2 linked regions of the Lonchura striata genome follow. The protein of the gene in region 2 interacts with the protein of the main gene of each other region in a pairwise test. Links are inferred from orthologs where the notes say so. Each region holds a gene or a part of one and is shown on either strand. Other genes may lie near its edges.

Region 1 (10,208 bases), on a different chromosome or scaffold from region 2:
CCTGGCCCCAGTGGTGCAAAACCCTTGGGTACACTTAGGCAGATGCAGCTGTGGGGTGGAGCTGGTCAGTGTGACACTGTCACACTGTAGAGTGTCAGATGGAGCTGGTCAGTGTGACACTAACACTGTGGGGTGTCAGATGGAGGTGGTCAGTGTGACACTGTCACACTGTAGGGTGTCAGATGGAGCTGGTCAGTGTGACTCTAACACTGTGGGGTGTCAGATGGAGGTGGTCAGTGTGACACTGTCACACTGTAGGGTGTCAGATGGAGCTGGTCAGTGTGACTCTAACACTGTAGGGTGTCAGATGGAGGTGGTCAGTGTGACACTGTCACACTGTAGGGTGTCAGATGGAGCTGGTCAGTGTGACACTCTCATGCTGCAGGGCAACAGCCTGGCCGTGGGTGTCTGAGTCATGAAGGGTGGGATGTGCCACACCTTATGTTTCCCCTCCACCAAAGCAAGCCCAGCAATGTGACACAAAGTAAAGGAGTTACGTTAGAGCCCTGACCCCACCATCTGACCCCAATGGGTGGACTCCCACAGTGATCTCACCCTGACAGCTTACTCAGCCTCACACGTAGCAGAGAAAGGTCATGCTCGGTTAAAACCAAAATTTGCTTTCTTGCAGCTTTTTCCCCCTTGGGCCAGAGGCTGTATCCCTGACTTGGGCAAAGATCCAACTGGAAATAATGAATGTAATTACCTTGTAAGCACCTCAGTGGAAAATATTGGTATAGTTAATTATACAGGGATGCAATGCTAGCCCATTTCCTAGTGTTTAAAATACAAATATGAATGCTTTCTCCTTTGAGGTTTTGAGAAGATTAGTTATTGCTGCAGTCCAACTGAATTGATAAGGCTTTCAGCTATTGCAATCATTTTAATGAGAAGGTTTCTAATACAGGTTTAACATCAATGGCTGGCATCATGTGCAAGAGTGTTACTCTGCACAGAGCTGGGGGTTTGAGTCCCCCTGCAAGAACGAGGGCCCCTTTGGCCATGCCCTTTAAGCATCCAACACTGAGATTTCTTTCAAAGGATGTTTGATTTTAACATTCTCAAACTGAAGATAAGAAACTCATACACCGAGTATCTAGAGAATTGAAATTTGAATATCAGGAGAATGAGGATACCCAAAACCTAGGACTTAGGTACCTTTCAAGAAATCCTGACAAACTGGCTACATGAAAATGCGCCTGTCTTTCATTAAGAATCATAGGAAACAGTGTAATAAACTCACAGCATGGACTGATCATGTACTGTAGTATTTTCATATTATGGTTTATTGACTTTCCAGGTGTTGAACAAGGAACCTGTTATTTCTATGTCAGTCTGCCTGAAAAGCCCCATCACTTTCAGCCCTCTGTGAGCAAATGAGCAAAAGCCACTCCATGTGCTTTGCTTGCCTTTGCATTTGATAGCAGCTGTTAACATTTTTGAACTATATGTACCCTAGCAGTTACTCATAGGTCAAAACCTGAAAAAGCTCAACTCTCTTCTCACATCTCTGCAAAAGTAGTGGAGAAGATTTATGAAAATAGAAGCCTGTCCTTGTGAAGCTATCTGAGAAAGCTTTTCCAGGGGAAAAAAAATAAAGGAGACAACAGCACTTTGGGTATAGGTCTTATTGTTTAGCAACAATCACATTTTGGACAAGGCCACGTCTTCCTGGCAGGAGCCAAAGCCACAGCAGCAGCACAGGGCCTTGTGCACCTGCCCAGGAAAGAAGAGGGGACAGGCACAATGCCCTGCTAGGGAATCCCTGAGGCGGAGAGGCCCCCCGCTTCTTAGGTTGCCATGGGAATTAATGAGGCCACAATCGGGAAATCCATCCCGGCAGCTTTGGAGATGCTGGTTCAACAGAGAGCAGTGTTTGCTCCCATGCGCTGCTGCAGGAAGCAGGGCCATGCGCTCCAAGCAAAGGGGAGACCGCTAAAAAAACTGCTTTTATCTAAATACTTCCTTGACAAATAATCCTTACTGCTGGTGCTGCTTTTCAGTTTTGTGCCCGTTCTGCTGCAACACCAGCTCACCGGAGCCCAGGCAGGAGCCACAGAGGCTGCCCGTGGTCAACAGCAACAAGGATGGATCAGTCACCACCTTGACTTTTCAATACATTTCCATATACCATGCACTGAAAAAAAACTAAGGAAGCAGCTCCCCCAAAGGGAACTAAAACCACCATCCTCTAAAAGCTGCCAGATAGGTGTTTCACCCAGTGGAAAAAAGCCAAATAAAAGCATGTGTAGGCAAGGGGCAAACTCTGGTCTAGTTCAATAATATCCAGAGGACAGTCTCCATGAATCACAACACTGGTCTCACAAGTGTCAGCATAGAATCTTTTAATACTTTACATAAAAAACTGCATACACTATAGTTTTATGTAAACATCATATACATCTCAGTTTTTGCCATGTCAGTTTATTAAAAACAGTCTCAGTACCACTGTTGAGGGAAGAGGGAATAAAGTAAACAAACATAAATGGATACATTTGTTCTCTGAACCAGAGAAACAGAAAATTATTTTCACCCAGGCTGGCCACCTTGTGAAAATAAGTTTTAAATAAACCTTGATTCTTTAAACTGCCCTTTAGTACTAAAGTCTGATGTACTCACTGCATAAGTAACAGTGCTTTCACCCTTTTTTTTTTTTTTCCAAGGCAAAAATAATACAGTGGTTTTATTTTGTCTTGTGTTGAAATCAGTTTTAAACAAGACCCAGATGAGGTTACCGAGTAAGAATGTTTCCAATGCTACAGTGTTGTATGCAGATGAGCGCATTGAGTGTTTAATTTAAACATTAAAAACTCCACCGAGTTGTGCAAAGTAACATCTTTTGAAAATAAACTTTTAAATAAACCCAAATCAACACACTTGCAGGAGACAACATCAAAAGTAAGGAGCAGGCACCAAAATCATAATATGGCAATATCATCCCCTTGCTCATCCTGCCTCATCTGTCAGGAGGTGGATATCCAGCAAGCAGGACAGTTCAGCTTTACTTTCTGGCCTGGTGGCTTCTGCAGCTGGAGTCAGTTCATGGCTCCTGTTATCAGCAGGCATCAGTCACTCAGGGCAAGTTCCTTTGCACAACACAAGTCCCACCTGGGCACCCCCTCCCCACCTCACTTTAAATAAGCACCCCCTGTACTACCCCAGTTTGCACAAGACAAAAAAGGTAACATATATACAGGCTTTGCTTGGGATGACCCTCCCCTCCCCTCCCAGTCTCGGTCTTCAGGGCGCTAACTTCCACAGCAGGTCAGGCTCAGGCTGAAACATGTGAGGGAGAAGCAAGGATGCTGCAGGCAGCCTGGGAGAGGCAGCCCCTTTCCCCAGCTCGCCTGGGTGGAGGCACATGCAGGCAGGAGGCAGAAGTCCCTTCGAGCATCTCAGCTCCACCGCCCTCCTCTTGCAAAAGAGAGGAGGCTGCCCGGGAGCAGGAAGCAGCAGGTGTTGGCAAAGGGGCAGAACCGGGTGCAAGGTTTGCTCAGTCCAGTCTCAGCAGCTTTTTGTCGTTGAGTCCACGACTAACTCGCAGGGGCCAGCGGTAGGAGAAGGCTTCTCCCCACTTTATTCCCAAGATTCAGGGCATGCAATCCCCCCCTCCCTCCGTCCCCGCGGCTGAGCAAGCACAACCCTTTTTGGCCAAGGCTCAAGGAGCGTGCTCCCTCCCTTAGCCCCCACCCCATGCACAGCCAGTCCCTAGCGGAGGGGACAGGCAGATGCCGTGTGCGTATAACCCAGCTCCTCTGCACCTGCCAACAGGTGACCCGGGCGCTGTGCCCAGCGCCGCGCTCCAGACACGCCCTATAGGACTTTGCAGCAGTTGATGCAGCCGTTCTGGGTGCCGTAGCGCTTCTGCAGGGCTGCCCGGGTGGCAGTCTCGAAGACCTCCCGGACACCCTCCTTGGTCTTGGCCGAGCACTCCAGGTAGTCGTAGGCCTGGATGCGGATGGCCATGGCCCGGCCGTCCTCGGTGCGCACCGGCTCCTGCTTCATGCGGGCCAGCTCGTTCCGCACGTGCTCGTCGTTCCGCAGGTCCTTCTTGTTGGCCACCAGGATGATGGGGACGTTGGGGCAGAAGTGCTTCACTTCGGGCACCCACTTCTCCGGGATGTTCTCCAGCGAGTCCGGGCTGTCCACGGAGAAGCACATGAGGATGACATCGGTGTCCGGGTAGGAAAGGGGACGCAGGCGGTCATAGTCCTCCTGGCCAGCCGTGTCCCACAGGGCCAGCTCCACCTGCTTGCCGTCCACCTCTATGTCCGCCACGTAGTTTTCAAAGACGGTGGGCACGTAGACCTCAGGGAACTCGTCCTTGCTGAAGACGATGAGGAGGCAAGTCTTGCCACAGGCACCGTCCCCCACCACCACCAGCTTCTTGCGGATGGCAGCCATGGCCAGGCTCGCCAAGCTGGCCTTGCCGTGCAGCAGGACGATGGCAGCGCCCTCCTCCCCGCGGCCGCCGCCTCCCGCTCCCTCTCGCTTCTCACAGGGCACCGTGGCGAGCCGGCCCGCGCAGGCAGGCGGGCGCGCCCTGCTCTCTCCGCTCACCGGCACCGCGCCGCCGTATCCTGCCTCGCGGGAGCGCTACGGCCGCAGGGCAGCGCCGCCGGCCCCGGAGCTCTGCGGTGGGAGCGGTGCCGCCGGTTCTCGCCTCACTGCACAGACACGAACGGGACCCGCTCCGCGCAGCCACTGCCGCAAGCTGCGGCCCGGCGCCGCTATTTAAAGGCGCTCGCGGCTTTCTTAATATAGCTGGCCAATGGGAAGGCAAGGAGTGAGGTCATCCCCGGCGGAGAGCGCTGCGATTGGCGGGCGGCCGCGGGCGGGGGGCGGGGCCGAGGCGGGGGGGAGCGGCCGGGCCGGGAGCGGCCGGGCCGGGCCGGGGCAGCGCGCCCGGGGTGGCGGCGGGCGGAGCCGCGCTGGGGCGGCCGGGGCTCCGTGTCCCCGGTGCGAGCCTGTCCCGGTGCGAGCCCGGTGCGAGCCTGTCCCGGTGTGAGCCTGTCCCGGTGCGAGCCTGTCCCGGGTGAGCCTGTCCCGGGTGCGCCTGTCCCGGGTGAGCCTGTCCCGGTGCGAGCCTGTCCCGGGGTGAGCCTGTCCCGGGGCGAGCCTGTCCCGGTTTGAGCCTGTCCCGGTGTCAACCTGTCCCGGTGCGAGCCTGTCCCGGGGTGAGCCTGTCCCGGGGCGAGCCTGTCCCGGTGTGAGCCCGTCCCGGTGCGAGCCTGTCCCGGTGTGAGCCTGTCCCGGTGTGAGCCTGTCCCGGTGTGAGCCTGTCCCGGGTGAGCCTGTCCCGGTGCGAGCCTGTCTCGGTGTGAGCCTGTCCCGGTGCGAGCCCGGTGTGAGCTTGTCCCCGGTGCGAACCTGTCCCGGTGCGAGCCTGTCCCTGTGTGAGCCTGTCTCGGTGCGAGCCTGTCCCGGGTGAGCCTGTCCCGGAGCGAGCCTGTCCCGGGGTGAGCCTGTCCCGGGGTGAGCCTGTCCCGGTGCGAGCTTGTCCCGGGGTGAGCCTGTCCCGGGGTGAGCCTGTCCCGGTGTGAGCCTGTCCCGGGGTGAGCCTGTCCCGGTGCGAGCTTGTCCCGGGGTGAGCCTGTCCCGGGTGAGCCTGTCCCGGTGCGAGCCTGTCCCGGGTGAGCCTGTCCCGGGTGAGCCCTCCCGGCCCGGGGATCCCGGTTGTCGCCGGGGCAGGCAGGGCCGGTCCCCGCCGCAGGCTCGCCGCTCGGGACGGCCTGAGTGAAGAGGCTGGGCGGGCACCGAGAGGAGCGGGGAGCGCCGCTGCGTCCCAGGGGCAAAGTGAACAGAGAGCATTGCAGGCGGGTGAATAAAATAAAAGCGTCCGCTGGGCGCTCCTGGAAAAGCGCTCGACACCCTTCCTTAAGAAATTAATCATATTCGACTCTCGCCAGCTTTTGGCCAAAAGGGAGCAGAGGAATTGCAAAGCGGGAGAAGCAGCAGGCTTGAACTGAATTGGCCTTTGGGTCTCAGTTTACAGGGATATCGGAAGTCACAGCAAGGAAAAAATGAACGTGGAGAATAAAGGGGCGCAAAGCCCTGTAGTGAGGGGTTGCTGGGAGGGCAGGATGCGAGTCCCTTCACAGGAGGAGCTGGCTGGGCTGAGCTGGGCCGGGCTGGGCTGAGCCGAGCCGGGCCGGGCTGGGCTGAGCCGGGCCGGGCCGGGCTGGGCTGAGCTGGGCCGAGCCGGGCCGGGCCGGGCGCGCTGGGGTGGCCGCAGTGCCGGGGCACACACGGACACCGCCGGCAGCGACGCGCTCGGTCCCTGTTGCAGCTGCCGCTGCTCAGCCGGGTGGTGTCCCAAACTTCTTCCCTGCCAGCACAGGCGCAGATGTCTTGTGGCTACTGCCTCTCGGGGTTTGATTCGAAGTGTCCCGTTTTCCCAGCCAGTACTGGCATTAGGGTATGGAACAAAAATGAGTGGTTTGTACAATACTGTTGTTATTAAAAGTTGCATTTTAAAATACCCACTTGGAGAGCGAATGCATCACTGAGTACATCAAATTGCCTGACAAGTTACTTGCAGCAGACTGTTACAGAGGGGTGTGTGTCAATAGGGCAAAAGGTTCGTTTAATCCTAGACATTGAAATAAAATTCATTTTCTGTGAGATTTTTGTAATACCCATTTCTCCCAGTCAAAAGAGCATGTTCCTGGATGCTGACGGATGAGTTTGTGCCTTGATCATACATAGGTTTGTACAGCATATTTTATATGAACATAATAAATTCAAACTGATTTTTTTAAAGAATTCAGCAATAAAGTGTAGACATAGACATGGATGTTCTTCAGTACCTATGGCCTTCCAGCGAGCCAAATTTCTGGCTTGCATCATCCCTTTAAATCCGTTGTCACTGCTCACAGGCTTCAATTCTTCTCAAACTGCGTGGAAATCACCCCCCTGCTGCCATGTCCTCCTGGCACGGGGGGATGGTGCTCGGGCAGCTTGCAGCTATTTTCTCCGCAGTCCCAGGCGGGGAAGGCCGCTGGGAGAGGCGGGCGGGGGGATTTGCGGCGGATTCCCGTTCCATGGAATCCCCGGCTCGCCGCTCCCCCCGCGCCGCCCGGCCGCGCCGCGCCGACGGCGGGGCCCCAGCGCCCCCTCGCGGCAGCTCCGCGCCCTGCACCGCCCTGCGCCTGCTCCGTGCGGCTCCGCAGCTGGAAAACCCTCCGCTGGAAAACCCTCCGCTGGAAAAACCCACCGCTGGAAAAACCCACCTCTGCGGCGGCAGCAGGAGAAGCTGCGACTGCTTCACCTGGCCTGAGAGGTGCTGCTTAAATATACTTCTGATTCCGCTTGTATTTTGAATCATGCCTGGGTGTTTGGTTTTGTCCTTTCAGGAGCAAAATGTTTTATTAAATAGAAGAAGGAATAATGCAAATGAGCAGTTACGTGTATTGACTCATCTGTGCTGTGCCACCGAAGGCAGATAAATAAGCAGTTTATTCATTTCAAAGCACACGGCTCTATTGTTGCCCAGAGTGCTGCTTACCTCTTTAAAGGTTGCCAAGCAGGGTGACCTCATCCAAATTGTCTGCTGATTCCAGCTTCCAAACTGTGCAAAGGAATTACTCCAGAAATGTCCAGCTAGCTCAAGTTAAGTCCATAGCATGATTTTTTCTTGTAACTGAGCAGTATATATATATTTGCAGCACCCACTTATGGTCTGAGCCATGACTTAATGGCTCATGCTTAATTTTCAAGTCTCACATCTCTAGTTTTCCACACAGTTGCACTGAAAGCAAAGTGCCTGATGTTTCATCTCTCACCTTGCAAGACAGACTTCAGCAAAGGCTATGTAACACCTTGACCAAGGCTTTCAAATGCTTTATAAGTATTTTTTTCCAGAAACTTTATATCATGAGACTCAGCCCTGTGACCAACTCAAGCTGAGATCACACTCCTTTCACTGTCCTGGGGTACACTCCAGCAACAGCCTCTAGGGGGAACATCTAAGTCATTGTGGTTATTACACATCTGTAATTAGTGAATATATCCAGCTTATGTATTTTAGGGCTGAATTTTAACTGACATTGTAGCTTTTATATTTTCTGCATGAATCTGCATGATATAAACTGTAGTTCTTTATGCAAGCTGAATCTTCACCTCTAGTTAGCTGTTCTAGTGCAAAATGTGCACTCTAAGCATACTGTTAGTTCTGCTGCACCATATACTTCTGTATGATTGAGGAAGAAAGCATGAAGTAGGACAAAGAAGGAAGACACCACTTGTTTGTTTTTATTGCTTGTGGGGATGGTTTTGAGATTAAAACTCAGATTTTGTTGTTTATTTATTTATTTATTTATTCATTTATTTAATCCAAGTGGCATTTTTTAGTTGAGAAGACAATTCCTGTCAATTACTGGAGATTTTTTTTCCAGCTTATATTCCCCCCCTGCTCTTCTTCTAAGCAGATTTTCTAAAGGGCATGTCTGTAACTCAGATACATTGTGTTCAGGTGTAAATCTGTACCAAAAGTATGAAAGCTCAGTGGGGAAGGCAATCTTTCTCCTTTCTGTCAATAAGTAGGCAAGTAAGTACATAGCCTGCTGTGGCATAACATGCTGAGGGAGCCACATGTCCTCTCATGGCACACAAAGTCCTGCGTGCTGGCTTGTAATGCCAGCATCAGGCATCCTGCAGTCCTCATGCAGGCAAAGCTCCTCAGCAAAGCGAGGAAGGCAAGAGGCAGTGAAATATGAGCAGTTCACAGGCTAGTGTGGAAAAGCTCTGGGTAGATGTTAGAGAATGGACAGAAATGGTACCTGTCCCCCTAAGAGAAAAGCTTCTGGCACATTTAGGAACCAGACCTTGCTGTTTGTCACCACAGGTCCATTGCTTTCCAACGTTCCTGGAGGAATGCAGAGTTCAACTCTCAGAGCCGGGATCAGCACCCTCAGCAGACAATCCAGACTGATCTGCCTAGAAACTGGAATGCCAAGGCACAGCAGGAGAAGGTGAAATGACCTGTGTGTTTTCATGCAGATGTTTATGCTAAGTGCAGTGCACATGAAAGCATACCAGCCCAAAAAATATGCTTTCATGACTAAATAGCTGTATGGGATCCACTGGCATTGCTCTTCCAGGGAATAAGAGAGGTCAGAAGCTGTTTAATTTTTTCCAGTTCTTACAGCAAGACTATAAAATTCATACTTTAATAGGACTCAGGAAATACGGGTTGCCAGAGTAAAATTATACCACTACAGTATATTAAAGTGGCCCTTTGTCTCCAGGTGAGTTCAAATTAAATAAAAACAAGTGCCTCATCCTTAGGCAAGAATTTTTAGACCTAAAACACCTAATCTCAGTTGAAGAACCCTTCTGTAGCTTAAGGAAATAAATGAGCTGACCATATAACTCTTATGGATACTCATGATGTTACATGTCTACATCACCAGTGATGTCTTTGGAAACAGTTCTTTCTGCAGAGAGACCAAACTTGTCACCTGGTTCCCTTTGTTCTCAGTTTTTACTGACTGCAGACACCTTGCTGTCTTTGTCTACCAGGAAAACTGAGACAGAGTAAAGGTTGCTTGTCCAATGCCAAGATAGCAGGGAATTCAGTCTCTCTATCTGGAGTTAAAGAAAGTATCCTTAACAGTGGGAAGTTCTTTATTTTTAGGATCTCCAGTGAATGTACTTCATTCCATATTTTCAGGATGGTCCGACACTGGAAAAGGCTGCCCACAGAAACTGTGGAGTCTCCATCCTTGGGCATATTCAAAACCCAACTGGACACAATCCTGAGCAACCTGCTGTAGTTTATCCTGCTCTGAGCAGGGCAGGGTGGAGTAGATAACCCCTCCTCACCTCATCCATTCTTTGGTTCTGCAATTCATCCATCTGTGATGCCTCAGCAGATCTGAAAAGTGATGTTTGGAGGGTCTCTCTTGCAGGTCTACTCCTGTTTCACACTCCAGCACTGTCAGCCCACATTCCACCAGGGAGTTTGGCACACTCGGTTCTGAAGTGCTCACACAGGATGAGTCTTTTGCAATAGGAACAAGGAAACTTCTGAAGTAAGCATGTTGTGATTTGTTAACAATTTGTGTAATTTCCACTTTATTGGCAGTAAAGTAGATTTCTTTAAAAAAGCAATGATGTCATATGGTCCTCCATGTAGATTTATTTGCTATATTAAGATACATTAACTTATTGTTTTAATTACTGTGGTCTTCATGGTGGTCTTTGAA
Region 2 (11,388 bases):
GAGGTGTAAATTAAAGACTAAACAAATAAGTAAAAATATTTTAAAGGCAAGCCTAAAGAAGTTCTAAAAAATCATGCCATATCTAACATTTAAGATTTTGTTGTTTTGGGTTTTTTTCAGTAGAAACAAATGTAAATGTGTAGAGTTGATCTTGGTCTGAAATGGGAAGTTGACTACATTATCTTTAGAATCTCCTGCCAGTCTTTTTTTTTTTTTTTTTTTCAATAGGACAAAATTGAAAACTCAGTCCAGGTGGTCAAATTTGTAAATGCCAAATATGTGTGTGTTTTAAAGCTGACTGCACGTTATTTGTGTCAAATTTGTAATCTCACTTTTTCCAGCTTTGTTATGCTATGAGAATAAATGCACTCCCTTCTTTATAACATAAATACCTTCATTTAAGTATTTTTCTGCAGCTGGCAGATTGCCTTTTTTCTGAGTCTAATTATAAACTACAAACAGGGCATGGCTATCTTTGTCTAAGAAAGAATAAAAGAGCATAATGAATCTTTGCTTCCTTTTGCTTCAAACAAAACATGTCCAACACCAGACTTCCAATGAATGAAGGTGTGGTGACTGATTTTTCATATTTGGAGGATTTTTCCAAATTTCTTGTATCTTACAGAATTTACAATAGTGAGCTGACGCTCTAGTTGATCTTCATCCAAAAGCTCCCTGCCACTGCAGACCACTAACTATGGGAAACAGTAAGCAGGACTGCTATTCCTCATTCTCATTTCTTGCACTTTGAATCTGGTTCTCCATGTCTCAGTGTAGCCCTAGGCCCCATCTTCAAAACTGGACAGTATTCCTAGAAAAAGGACCAAATTCCAGACCTGATTTCAAATGAGACTTAGTTACAACAAACGAAGATACCCAGCAAGATAGCTAAGCTTGCTAAAAGACTAAGGATGCTACTTGTCTTTGGAAAACCAGCTTTATGTTTTGTACTGTGGATTTTAACTATTGTGATGCAGACGCATTTAAAACCTACCCGGCCAATTTCCGTATGCACTGTTCTCTGCGCCATTACTTTAGGAACAAATAGTGCCTGGCATTCACCGCTCTCGGGGGCCGTGAGTGCAGAGGCTCGGCGTGCTACCGACGGCTGAGTCACCGCGAGCCGCCAGCACGACACCCAAGTGGCCGGGGGAGCGGAAGCGACCGCCGCCTTCCGCCCTCGCTCCCGGGTCACGGCAGAGCTCCTCTGGAGTCCCGTCCCGCTCTGCCGGGGCTGCCCAGACGGGGCCCGCAGCGCCCCAGCGCTCCCGGGCCCCGACGCACGGCTGCCCGCTCTCCCCGCGGTACTCCGCGGAGAAATCGAACGCGGGTGATGAAGACGGCGGCGGCGGCCAGGCCCGGCCCCGCTCGCCCACTTTAGCTGCACCACGCCGACGAACAAGACTGATGCTACCCTGCTTACATCAGGAGAGCGCCGCCGGCGGGACCAGCCTGCCTCCTGCACCGCCCCGTCCCGGTACCGCCCCCGGCACCGCCCCGGCACCGCCCTGCACGGCACCGCCCCCGTTCCGCCCTGCATGGCACCGCCCCGCCCCCGGCACCGCCCCCGGCACCGCCCCCGGCACCGCCCCGGCACCGCCCCCGGCACCGCCCCGCCCCGGCACCGCCCCGGCACCGCCCCGCCCCCGGTACCGCCCCCGGCACCGCCCCGGCACCGCCCCGGTACCGCCCCCGGCACCGCCCCGGCACCGCCCCGGCACCGCCCCCGGCACCGCCCCCGGCACCGCCCCGGCACCGCCCCCGGCACCGCCCTGCACGGCACCGCCCCCGTTCCGCCCTGCATGGCACGGCCCCGCCCCCGGCCCCGCCCCCGGCACCGCCCCGGCACCGCCCCCGGCACCGCCCCCGGCACCGCCCCCGGCACCGCCCCGGCACCGCCCCCGGCACCGCCCCGCCCCGGTACCGCCCCCGGCACCGCACCGCCCCCGGCACCGCCCCGCCCCCGGCACCGCACCGCCCCCGGCACCGCCCCCGGCACCGCCCCCGGCACCGCCCCCGGCACCGCCCCGCCCCGGTACCGCCCCCGGCACCGCCCCGCCCCGGCACCGCCCCGGCACTGCACCGCCCCCGGCACCGCCCCGCCCCCGGCACCGCCCCCGGCACCGCCCCCGGCACCGCCCCGCCCCCGGCACCGCCCCCGGCACCGCCCCCGGCACCGCCCCCGGCACCGCCCCGCCCCGGCACCGCCCTGCACGGCACCGCCCCCGGCACCGCCCCGGCACCGCCCTGCACGGCACCGCCCCCGGCACCGCCCCGGCACCGCCCCCGGCACCGCCCCCGGCACTGCACCGCCCCCGGCACCGCCCCCGGCACCGCACCGCCCCCGGCACCGCCCCGCCCCGGCACCGCCCTGCACGGCACCGCCCCCGGCACCGCCCCGGCACCGCCCCCGGCACCGCCCCCGGCACCGCCCCGGCACCGCCCCCGGCACCGCCCCCGGCACTGCACCGCCCCCGGCACCGCCCCGGCACCGCCCCCGGCACCGCCCCGCCCCCGGCACCGCCCCGCCCCGGCACCGCCCTGCACGGCACCGCCCCCGGCACCGCACCGCCCCCGGCACCGCCCCGGCCCGGCACCGCCCCCGTTCCGCCCTGCACGGCACCGCCCCGCCCCCGTCACTGCCCCGGCACCGCCCCGGCACCGCCCCGGTACCGCCCCGCCCTGCGCCGGGCACTGCCCCCGGCACCGCCCCTGGCGCGCTCTTGCCCCCTCCGGCAGGACTCTTACCGGTAACGCAGATCATGCGCGTCCTTCATTTGCCGAAGGCTGACTACAACAAAGTGTTGCCTGCATGAACGCCACAACGAGAAGGCTCAGATACTCGGTCATGCCAGGCGGGGCTGTGATTGCCAGAAAAAATTAACTTCTCAAGTGTTCGCTTTATTTACGTGCGTATCACTTTCTCTGAACGCTAGCAACCTATTCAATCGCACAAAATGCACCACGAAATACTGCAACTGAGTTACTTCATTACAAGCCGGGATTGTGCAGTTTGTCTGCACCTTTTTCTGGAGAAATGTTGAAATCAGTGCTTGACTTTACTGAACAGAAGAAGCTGTGAAAGACGTGCACAATTATGGTGGAAAGTGTGGCATTATCATTTCTTTGTACTGTTCAGTAAGGCTGCGGGCAACCTACACAGTTTAGTCTGCAAAAAATTTTCAGTAATGTTCGATTTTTTAGACTTGTACTTTGCCTGACCATTTCAGCTATATTATTTTGACTTATTTTAGTTATGTGGGAAAATGAAACAAAGAGGTATGGATTCTCGCCAGTTTGTATTTAGTATTTGATTGATTAAAAATCACCTTGGCTTCAAAGAAGGACTGCCATAAAAGTACAAATTAGTACCTTTCAAAGTCTGATAAACATGTCTTTTAATTCCAAAGCTCTGAGTCACTTGACACAATGACCATATCTGATAATTTCATTGGCCCTTATAGCCTAGCCTTGATCAGAGCTTTGTTCCAAATTGCACAGGAGATAGTATCTTGCTACACTTTCTCAAAGATAAAAATGGAAGGAATAGGAGTACTACTCTGATTACCCATGGGATTAAAGAGAAGCAAAAATGTGTTTTGGCCAAACTGAAAAGCTTAGCCCTCTGTTTCTCTATCTTACAATACATTCTGGAAGTGTCCGTATAAACAACCATAAGACTCCATCTGTACATAAAAGCATTATCAGCGCTGGGTTCTTCTGCTCCATGTAGGGATGGCTGTGCTTACCACAGGAGAGATCAAGACTTGAACGAAGTCCCTTTAGGTAGACACCTGATTTTTCTCTGTTTCTTAGAAATGTCCCAGCCAAAATGATAGTATATTTCACCACTGTTAAAGGCATTATCCTCACTTGGGTACTGTCAAAGGTCTCTGATTGCCTGAAGTACTTTTATTCACTTGGAAATTTTTAGCTGGGAAGTACAGGAAGTAATCATTCCAGGGTTAAGGACTGAGGAATTGAAATAGTGTAGATTGTTCTTCTCACAATATTGTGAAAATCCTTTTATGCTATTTTGATCCTATTTTCTAAATCTCCTTTTATAAAAGTGATTTACCTGTGATTCGTCCTTCAGTAAAGTAATCCTTTACTCTGCTTTTGCCACTCTCCTTCTGTGTTGTTTGTCAGGACCTCTAATATCTGCATTCAGCACAGTCAGCTTTTGATTTTCATGGGGATGCCAGCTACTGCTGCAGTGCATGAAAGCAGAAGCTTATGCCGTCATTTCTGTATGGGTCTATTATATGGTTTTGGAGTGTGAATTTACACTCAGTAAACTGGAAATACCTAATTTCACTGTCTCATGCAGTGCACACAGACTTAGGACTCAAGCCTTTTTTACTGCAATTCTACCATGACCACAGACATCTCTGATTCACATTAGAGAGCAACAGAAATATCATCATTCTATTAACTGATGGTACAGTAGAAGAATGCAAATGGTCACATCACCAGAATTAGTTTTTAATTGTAAAGTCTTCCCCAGAGCTTCTAGTCTCTGTGTTTGGATATTCTTTTCAAGCTTTCACTCCAGTTTGCATGTCTCCTGTTTCATTTCTCCTTGGCAGAAAGCCAGCTGGAAGAGCATCTCTGCACTGCAGTGAAAAGCTGCGGCTCTGGAAAGCTACCATGTCAAAAACAAGCAGCAAGTACTAAGTCTGAATCACCAGAAAACAGAAGGTATTTCTATCAGCTGGTATGAAAATATCTGAATATTTTCCACCTTCATGTGTTGTTGTCATCTTTTCCTTCCACGACCTACAATCCTACTTTCATGATAGAATTTAATGTGCATTAGCATTAATTTTCAGGTTTACTATTTTATTCACTTATTTGCCTGTTCAGTGCAGTCCTCTAAAATTAAATTATTGCTTCCATGCAGGTTACAACACACAGAAATGAATTAAATCCTTTTGATATACTAATTCTCCCTTTTTACAAGGTTTAGTTCATAAAGTTCACAGCCTGTGGTGTGATCATAGTTTAATGTGAAAAAGACCTATTGCATTATCTCTTAATTTATCTGCGGAGAACTAGACCACCTTTTGATTTAAGATTTTAATTTGAGAAAACTCCAAAAGCTAGTAACATCAGCTGTAGCCTGCAGAGATAATAATTTTATATTTTTGTCCCTTTTTCTGGTTGTTTTTTTTTTTTTCCCCTGACTATCTTTTGTCAGAGTCCTATGACACTATAGATTCATATATGCTTGCCAAAATACCAACTTTCTGAACCTTATGAGGCTTCAAATGTAGTCTTGGTGGGTACAAAAGAATGAAAGAGGGCAGGATGCTGACTTATCTGTCCATCAGGTTTCTAAACTATAGCTCACCTGTGGAAATCCTGTGCACTGCAGGGCAAAACCTGACACTGTTTTAGGAAACGCTGCCTATTATTGCTGACTGGTGTAATTTAATAATAACTGGGTTGCTTTTCTACCCAACTGCATCGGCACAGGCTGGTCCTTCCTTATCTGTCAGAAAAGACACAGATTTTTCTGCCTGAAACTACTTTTTGGTGTCTCTCCCTTGTTCAGCCTGTAGAAGTCTCATACTTTGGGGTTGCTCAGCTTTTGCACATAGCATCATAGGATCGCCAAGGTTGGAAGAGACCTTCAAGGTCACCCAGTCCAACCATCCACCCAGCACTACCACTGTAACCCCTAAACCACATCATCCAGATACAGATCCAGACACCTCTTGAACACTGCTGGGGAGGTTACTCCACCTCTTCCCTGGGCAACAATTCCCAGGCTCCAATGCCTGGCAGTGGAAATAATTTTTCTAATATCTAATCCAGAGATCTCTTATGTCTCAGCTTAAGGCCATCTGCATTGAACTTCTTTTCAGCAGTAGCTGGCCAGAACTGTGAGCAAATTGTGCCCAAAGATATGGCCTCTCTCATCACCGCAGACAGTAAGAACTGCTGCATACACCATAGCCAGCCAGTACAGCCATGGACAGCTCGCATCAGCTTTGCACCGGCAGCTCAGATTGTTCTTGTAGCCCATGGGTCTGGAATCCAGGAAATCCCATTATTTATCCCAGGAGAGCATTACACTTACTTTTAATTGAACAGAAGGAAGAACCACCGGAAAGGGACCTGCTCATGGGCAAGCAATAGTGGAGAAATAAAGAAGGTGAATGACAATACCAAGCCTTGGAGTCTTTATGTCTTCTATGGCTTTATTGTGGGTATTGGAACAACTCAACACCAAGCATTTAAAAATCTCCGTGGATTTCTGTATTTAAGAAATTAAATTCTAAACTAAAGTGTAAACCAACACGCCTTCCCCCCTGATTTATTCTTTCAAAGGTCTGAGGCCCGCTTATGGTTTTGAGCATCCGAGCTGGTCGCTGTACCGCTCTGTCGATCTTGACGGAAGGAACTAAGACGTCGCACCCTAGAGCCGGCGGGGGCTCACCGGCAGTCTCCGTGCCGGCACGACCTGCCTTGGGCGGGCAGCCCGGGAGCGGCAGCGGCCGGACGGAGGTAGCGGCCGGTCAGCACGGAGGTAGCGGCCGGTCAGCACGGAGGTAGCGGCCGGTCCGCGCGGGGGTAACGGCCGGTCAGCACGGAGGCAGTGGCCGGCTCCCGCCGCCGGGGGGCGCGGCTGCGGCGGGGCCGCGCGGGGCGGAGCGGGGGAGCCCGGGGGGCTGGGCTCTGGGCGGGGCCGCGGGCGGGGCGGGAGGGGGCGCGAGCCGGGCGGGGCCCCGGATGGGCAGGCCAGGCCCCCTCCAGCAGCAGCGCAGGACCACGTGCCGGCTCGGCCAATCAGAGGGGGAGTCAGGGCGCTTTAAGAGCCGCGCGCCAGTGATCGCGCGCTGCAGCAGCGGCCGCGGCGTTGCTATGGAGACGGCGGCGGGGCCAGTCGCCATGGACGCGGCGGCGCCGCCGGGCGGTGGGCGGCACGCGCTGCTGGCCGTGATCGGGGAGATCGGGACGGAGCCGGAGCGGGGCGCGCTGCGCGGCGCCCTGGAGCGCGGTGAGCAGCGGGGCCGCGGCGGAGGGGCCGGGCTGAGGCGGACGCGATCCCTGCCCCTGAGAGCCGCAGGAACTGCGCGCCTGCCGTGTCGTTCCTGCCGCCGCCTGGGATGAGGCGGAGCTGCCGGTGCCCTCCCCGCCCTGCGGCACCGCCGTCTCGCCGCAGGGCTTTATCTGCCATCTCCCGGAGAGCGGCAGAGGCCTGCGGGCGGTGGCTGCGGGATGGGTCGGGGCGCTGTCGGGACCGCGGGGCGGAGGCCGAGGCTGAAGCCGTGGGGCCCAGTAGGGGCCAGGGCGGAGGGTGAGGCTGGGCGGGGCTCGGATCCCCGGCGCAGTGCGGGGCTGAGCTCTGCGGCATCTCCCCTGATCATTGCTTTATATCCATTAGTGAGATATAGCTAAAGCAGTTTTCGAACATCTTAAAGCTTAAAGACATTTCGTGGTTCTCCTTCCCCTCAGTCTTTATTTTAGTAGAGGTTTGGTAGGGTGCATCTTATTTCAAACTTACTCCAAAATTCTGTCATGATGGAGGAATTGTCTTGCTAGACTGTTCACTGTGGTCCCAGGGACGGCTGTGCACAAGGGTCTGCTGTAGTTTGGCCTCTCCCTGTCTATAGCTCCATGGACCAGAGTGAGGGAGGAGTAGTCACACAGTGACCTGCTTCAGGAATGACACAATGCAGGATAGATCTGCCATGGCATTTTTCTTCTCTGTTATCCATATTTTAATAACATCCAGAGGTCTTGGCAATGAATTAGGCTTTGTATATTAGACACAGTGTTGTTTAGAAGTAAGGCGGAAGGAGGTGCTGAGATGATAGCTCTTCCCTTGTGGCAGTTTCTGATAGTTTCTGACCAAAAGACAAAGGAGAGCTGATCAGCTACATCAGGACCTTAAGGGAACCCTTGTTCTAATAAGCAGTTTAGCACACCTTAGTGAAATAAAGTAACAACCTTCTGACTCACCTTCACTCTTCCCCTCAGCTCCCCACTTCCAAGGCATGTTGGGTTGAAATAACAGTCATAAGTATTGGCCAAACTGTGTTATTCAGAGATAATTCTGCGACTGTTTTCTTCCCAAGCATCAGCATTACCGAAGATTTAAGAAAAGGGTGGGTGTAAAAATGTCAAATATTGTCCAACTTCTTCACTATAGCTTTTCCAGCTACCTCTGTTAGCAGGCCACTTTGTTAATGAGGTGTGTTTCATTCCCTTTTTCAAGGGATGGCTTTAGTTCAGGAGTAGTAGATCTGATTGTGACCATCTGGCCTCTGAAAGGCTTTCTTTGAAGGGGCCACTCTTGCTTCCTGCACAGCAGGATGATCATCTTCACTTGGCACTTCACTGAACTGGTGTGCCAACCTACATCCTTATCCATTGTCTGAATCTTTGAAATGGTGATAGATCACACTGTGAACTAAAGGATTTTGCTCTGATTCTGTGGTCACATGCCAGTAACCTGAGAATTCCCACTGCAGAGGAAAAACATGCTGTTTTCAACATAAATTGTAACTGCCACAGTAGAAATAAGTTCTATAGTTGGCCTTCTGTGACTAGAAACCTGCTGAAATTCTGCCAAATGTAAACACTTTTATTTGCATGAGAGGGAGCCATTTCAGCAGTATTAGTAAGTTACTGGCAGTAGAAGTGAATCACATAGAGCTGGAAATCTGGATTTCAGTTTTATCTCTTACATGGAATAGGACCTCCAGCAAGTTAGTTTTCTACACTATGAAATGGGAGGATGACCTCTTCTTAAAATGGACCAATATTTGCAAATTGAAAGGTATGAAAAATGAGAATAGTTAAAATGACAGCAATCTTGAGATCTGTCAATAGTCTGCATATTATGGTGTTGTAGATAGCTGCACTCTTGATTCAGGGAGTTCAAGAAATTTAGAAATGATTCTTACTTAAATGTTAGCTGCTGCAGAGGGCTCATGTGAAGGTAGAACAAGTTGCTGAGCAGTGACTATACAAAGGATGAAAAAGCTAGGGTTTGTTTTGTGTCCTGTTGGCTGTGGCACCCTGTCTGCATAAAAAAAAAAAATCAAAACAAAAACCCAAAAGAACCCCCCCCCAAAAAAAGAACCAAACAAAAAACAAAGCAGATAACAAAAGCAACAACAACGACACAAAAAAAACCAACCAAAGACTTTTTTTTTTTTTCAGTCGATAAATCTCCTGCCCTGACTGCTATAAATGTATATTTTTCCAGACTTCTTTCTATACCATAGTCCAGGAGAATGCAATAGTGGCTACAATGCATTATAGGAACCTGCTCATTTCCAGGTGTAGAGCTTTGTAGGCTATGACATTGTGAATCTATGGGATATCTGAACAACACTTTTTCGAACATGCTGTCTGAAAAATGCTAGTTTTATTTTTCTGTTACTGTGTTACTTTTGTCTAATTTTGAAACAATATCCGTAAGACTTGGTCTAGTGTTGGGGAGAAAGGCTAAATCTTTTAAGCTAATTACCTCAGCAGGAAATAAAGCATTCACAAGGGCATAAAGAATGAGATGGAAAACTGATGAGTCACATGACCCCTTATTTAGGCTTTGCATTTGCAAAGAGCTTGAATATTTACCGTTATTGTGGTATAGTCTGCACTCTCATAGTAGAGGATTCTAATCAGCAAGGCTTATGTGCCATGAAGTGATAAATTGGAATAGTGGCAAATTTGTAGAGATTGAGTAAATTCAGACTACCTGTAGGGAAGAAAATTATGGATAAATTGTTGCAAGTGAGATAATTCCACTCTTCCCTTTCTTGCTCTGAAAGAGCACCTATTCTTTCTGCAACCTAGAGGATGTAGCAGTACCTCAAATAGCACTTATTGCTGCAGTAGGACACGATGACCATGACACAGCAGCTAGTCAGCAAGATTTGCCCTGCAGAGTGCCACCTTGTTCCTGTCCAGGTCAGAATGCTCATAACTACTGCATTGATATTCTCTTACACTGGACATTTTGTTAAACAATTATGCTCTCTTGGAGTGTAGGATAGGAAAACACTTTGTCCATCTCCTTGTTCCATGTGTTTTGTTTGTTTGTATCCCATGTCCAAATTGAAAGGTGCTGTGCTGGTAAGTTGTTTGGTATTCTGTGTTTTTTTCTTTTCTTTTTTTCCCCCTGAAGATCAGATGATTTAGTGAGGAGTTTTTGTGCAGTCTGAAGTGAATACTGTTAATAAATAAGCATAAATAAGCTTTGCTACTCCACTGTGTCAGCTGTCACCAGAAAAAGAAACCAAGCACAAAGGTTTTTTTAGCTGCTGTAGATTCTACAGCCTTGAGACTACTGACCTGTGTGATTCAATGATTACTGTGTCTTGGTATGTGTAGAAAGCTGGAGCCCTTGAGGATCCTCTCCCACCAGTGGCCAGCAAAAGCTTTGCACAACATGGAGAGCTATAACTGCAGTAAATGGGAATGATATCTCCATGGAAAATTAACATCATTACCTTGAAAGAAAGTAGATAATAGAGGCAATAAAACTTTTATGTACTTTATGCAACTTTTATGTATTTTATGCAAGAGAAATGGTGAAAGAACTCTCAGGGAGGACTCCATCAATAAATATTGGCGCTGAAATTCTTGTTTCGGTTAACCTTAGAAGTCTGTGGCATTGGCCTTCAACATCTGAACATCAGCAGGCATCAGCACCAGATGCTGGAGTAAGGATTTGTAGTGATATCCTGCTTTTGTTCATTGTGGCACAGTGTAGAGTCACACCATCTAGGAAAGGCTGCTCCCTACTGGGATGTGAAAATTGGTGGTCTGTAGTGTTTGGTGTCCTCCAGAATGTACATCTGTTCACATTGAGGTCTGAAGGTGACTTTCCCTGTATGGCTTGGTGCCACTTGCTCTGGGAGCAGAAGCACCTTCCTGCTGTGATATGAAGGTAACTAGCTGACAAAGATTATAAAGATTAAAGAACAGACTCAAATGGTCTCAGTAGGATCAGTGTCTTTGAAGGAGTGATTAGGCAGAGTGAGTTGGAGGGGTGGAGGGCTTTTGTGGCTTGGAGCATGCACAGGCTGTAAGGGCAAAGAAACTGATGTCTCTGAGCTTTCCAGTAGCATAACCACACAGTAGCCCATCTCTACTGGTGACGAGTGCTGGAGAGTGCAGATGTAAACCTAACATAATGTACTTGTTTGTTAAGGGGTAGTGTAATTCATTTGGCCTCATCTCTTGTTGATTTCCCTTGCATGAAGTCCAAGTTGAATGGAGACTTGCTTACAGCATGTCCTTCATGGAACACTTCATTTCTTCAGGAAGAAATGTCTTATACAAGGTAAGTATCTTATGGTCCTCTGCTTCTGAAGGCCTTCTCCATCCTAAGTATGCTCATCTAGTGTAGCATCCCTGGTCTTT

Evidence for each region.
Region 1: the proteins of MAP1A (region 2) and RHOB interact in a two-hybrid assay, tested with the Homo sapiens proteins (2 studies listed by BioGRID and IntAct). The link is inferred for Lonchura striata from reciprocal best matches to the Homo sapiens genes MAP1A and RHOB.

Annotation. Positions count from the first base shown.
Region 1 is NC_134605.1:104,395,849-104,406,056, reverse strand, and holds RHOB (rho-related GTP-binding protein RhoB), read right to left. Parts: upstream 4,700-10,208; 5' UTR 4,405-4,699; coding exon 3,814-4,404; 3' UTR 2,331-3,813; downstream 1-2,330. UniProt on the Homo sapiens protein: Mediates apoptosis in neoplastically transformed cells after DNA damage. Not essential for development but affects cell adhesion and growth factor signaling in transformed cells. Plays a negative role in tumorigenesis as deletion causes tumor formation.
Region 2 is NC_134613.1:24,564,875-24,576,262, reverse strand, and holds the start of MAP1A (microtubule-associated protein 1A), read left to right. Parts: upstream 1-6,861; 5' UTR 6,862-6,870; coding exon 6,871-7,006; intron 7,007-11,228; exon of another isoform or gene 11,229-11,238; coding exon of another isoform or gene 11,239-11,308; intron 11,309-11,388. UniProt on the Homo sapiens protein: Structural protein involved in the filamentous cross-bridging between microtubules and other skeletal elements.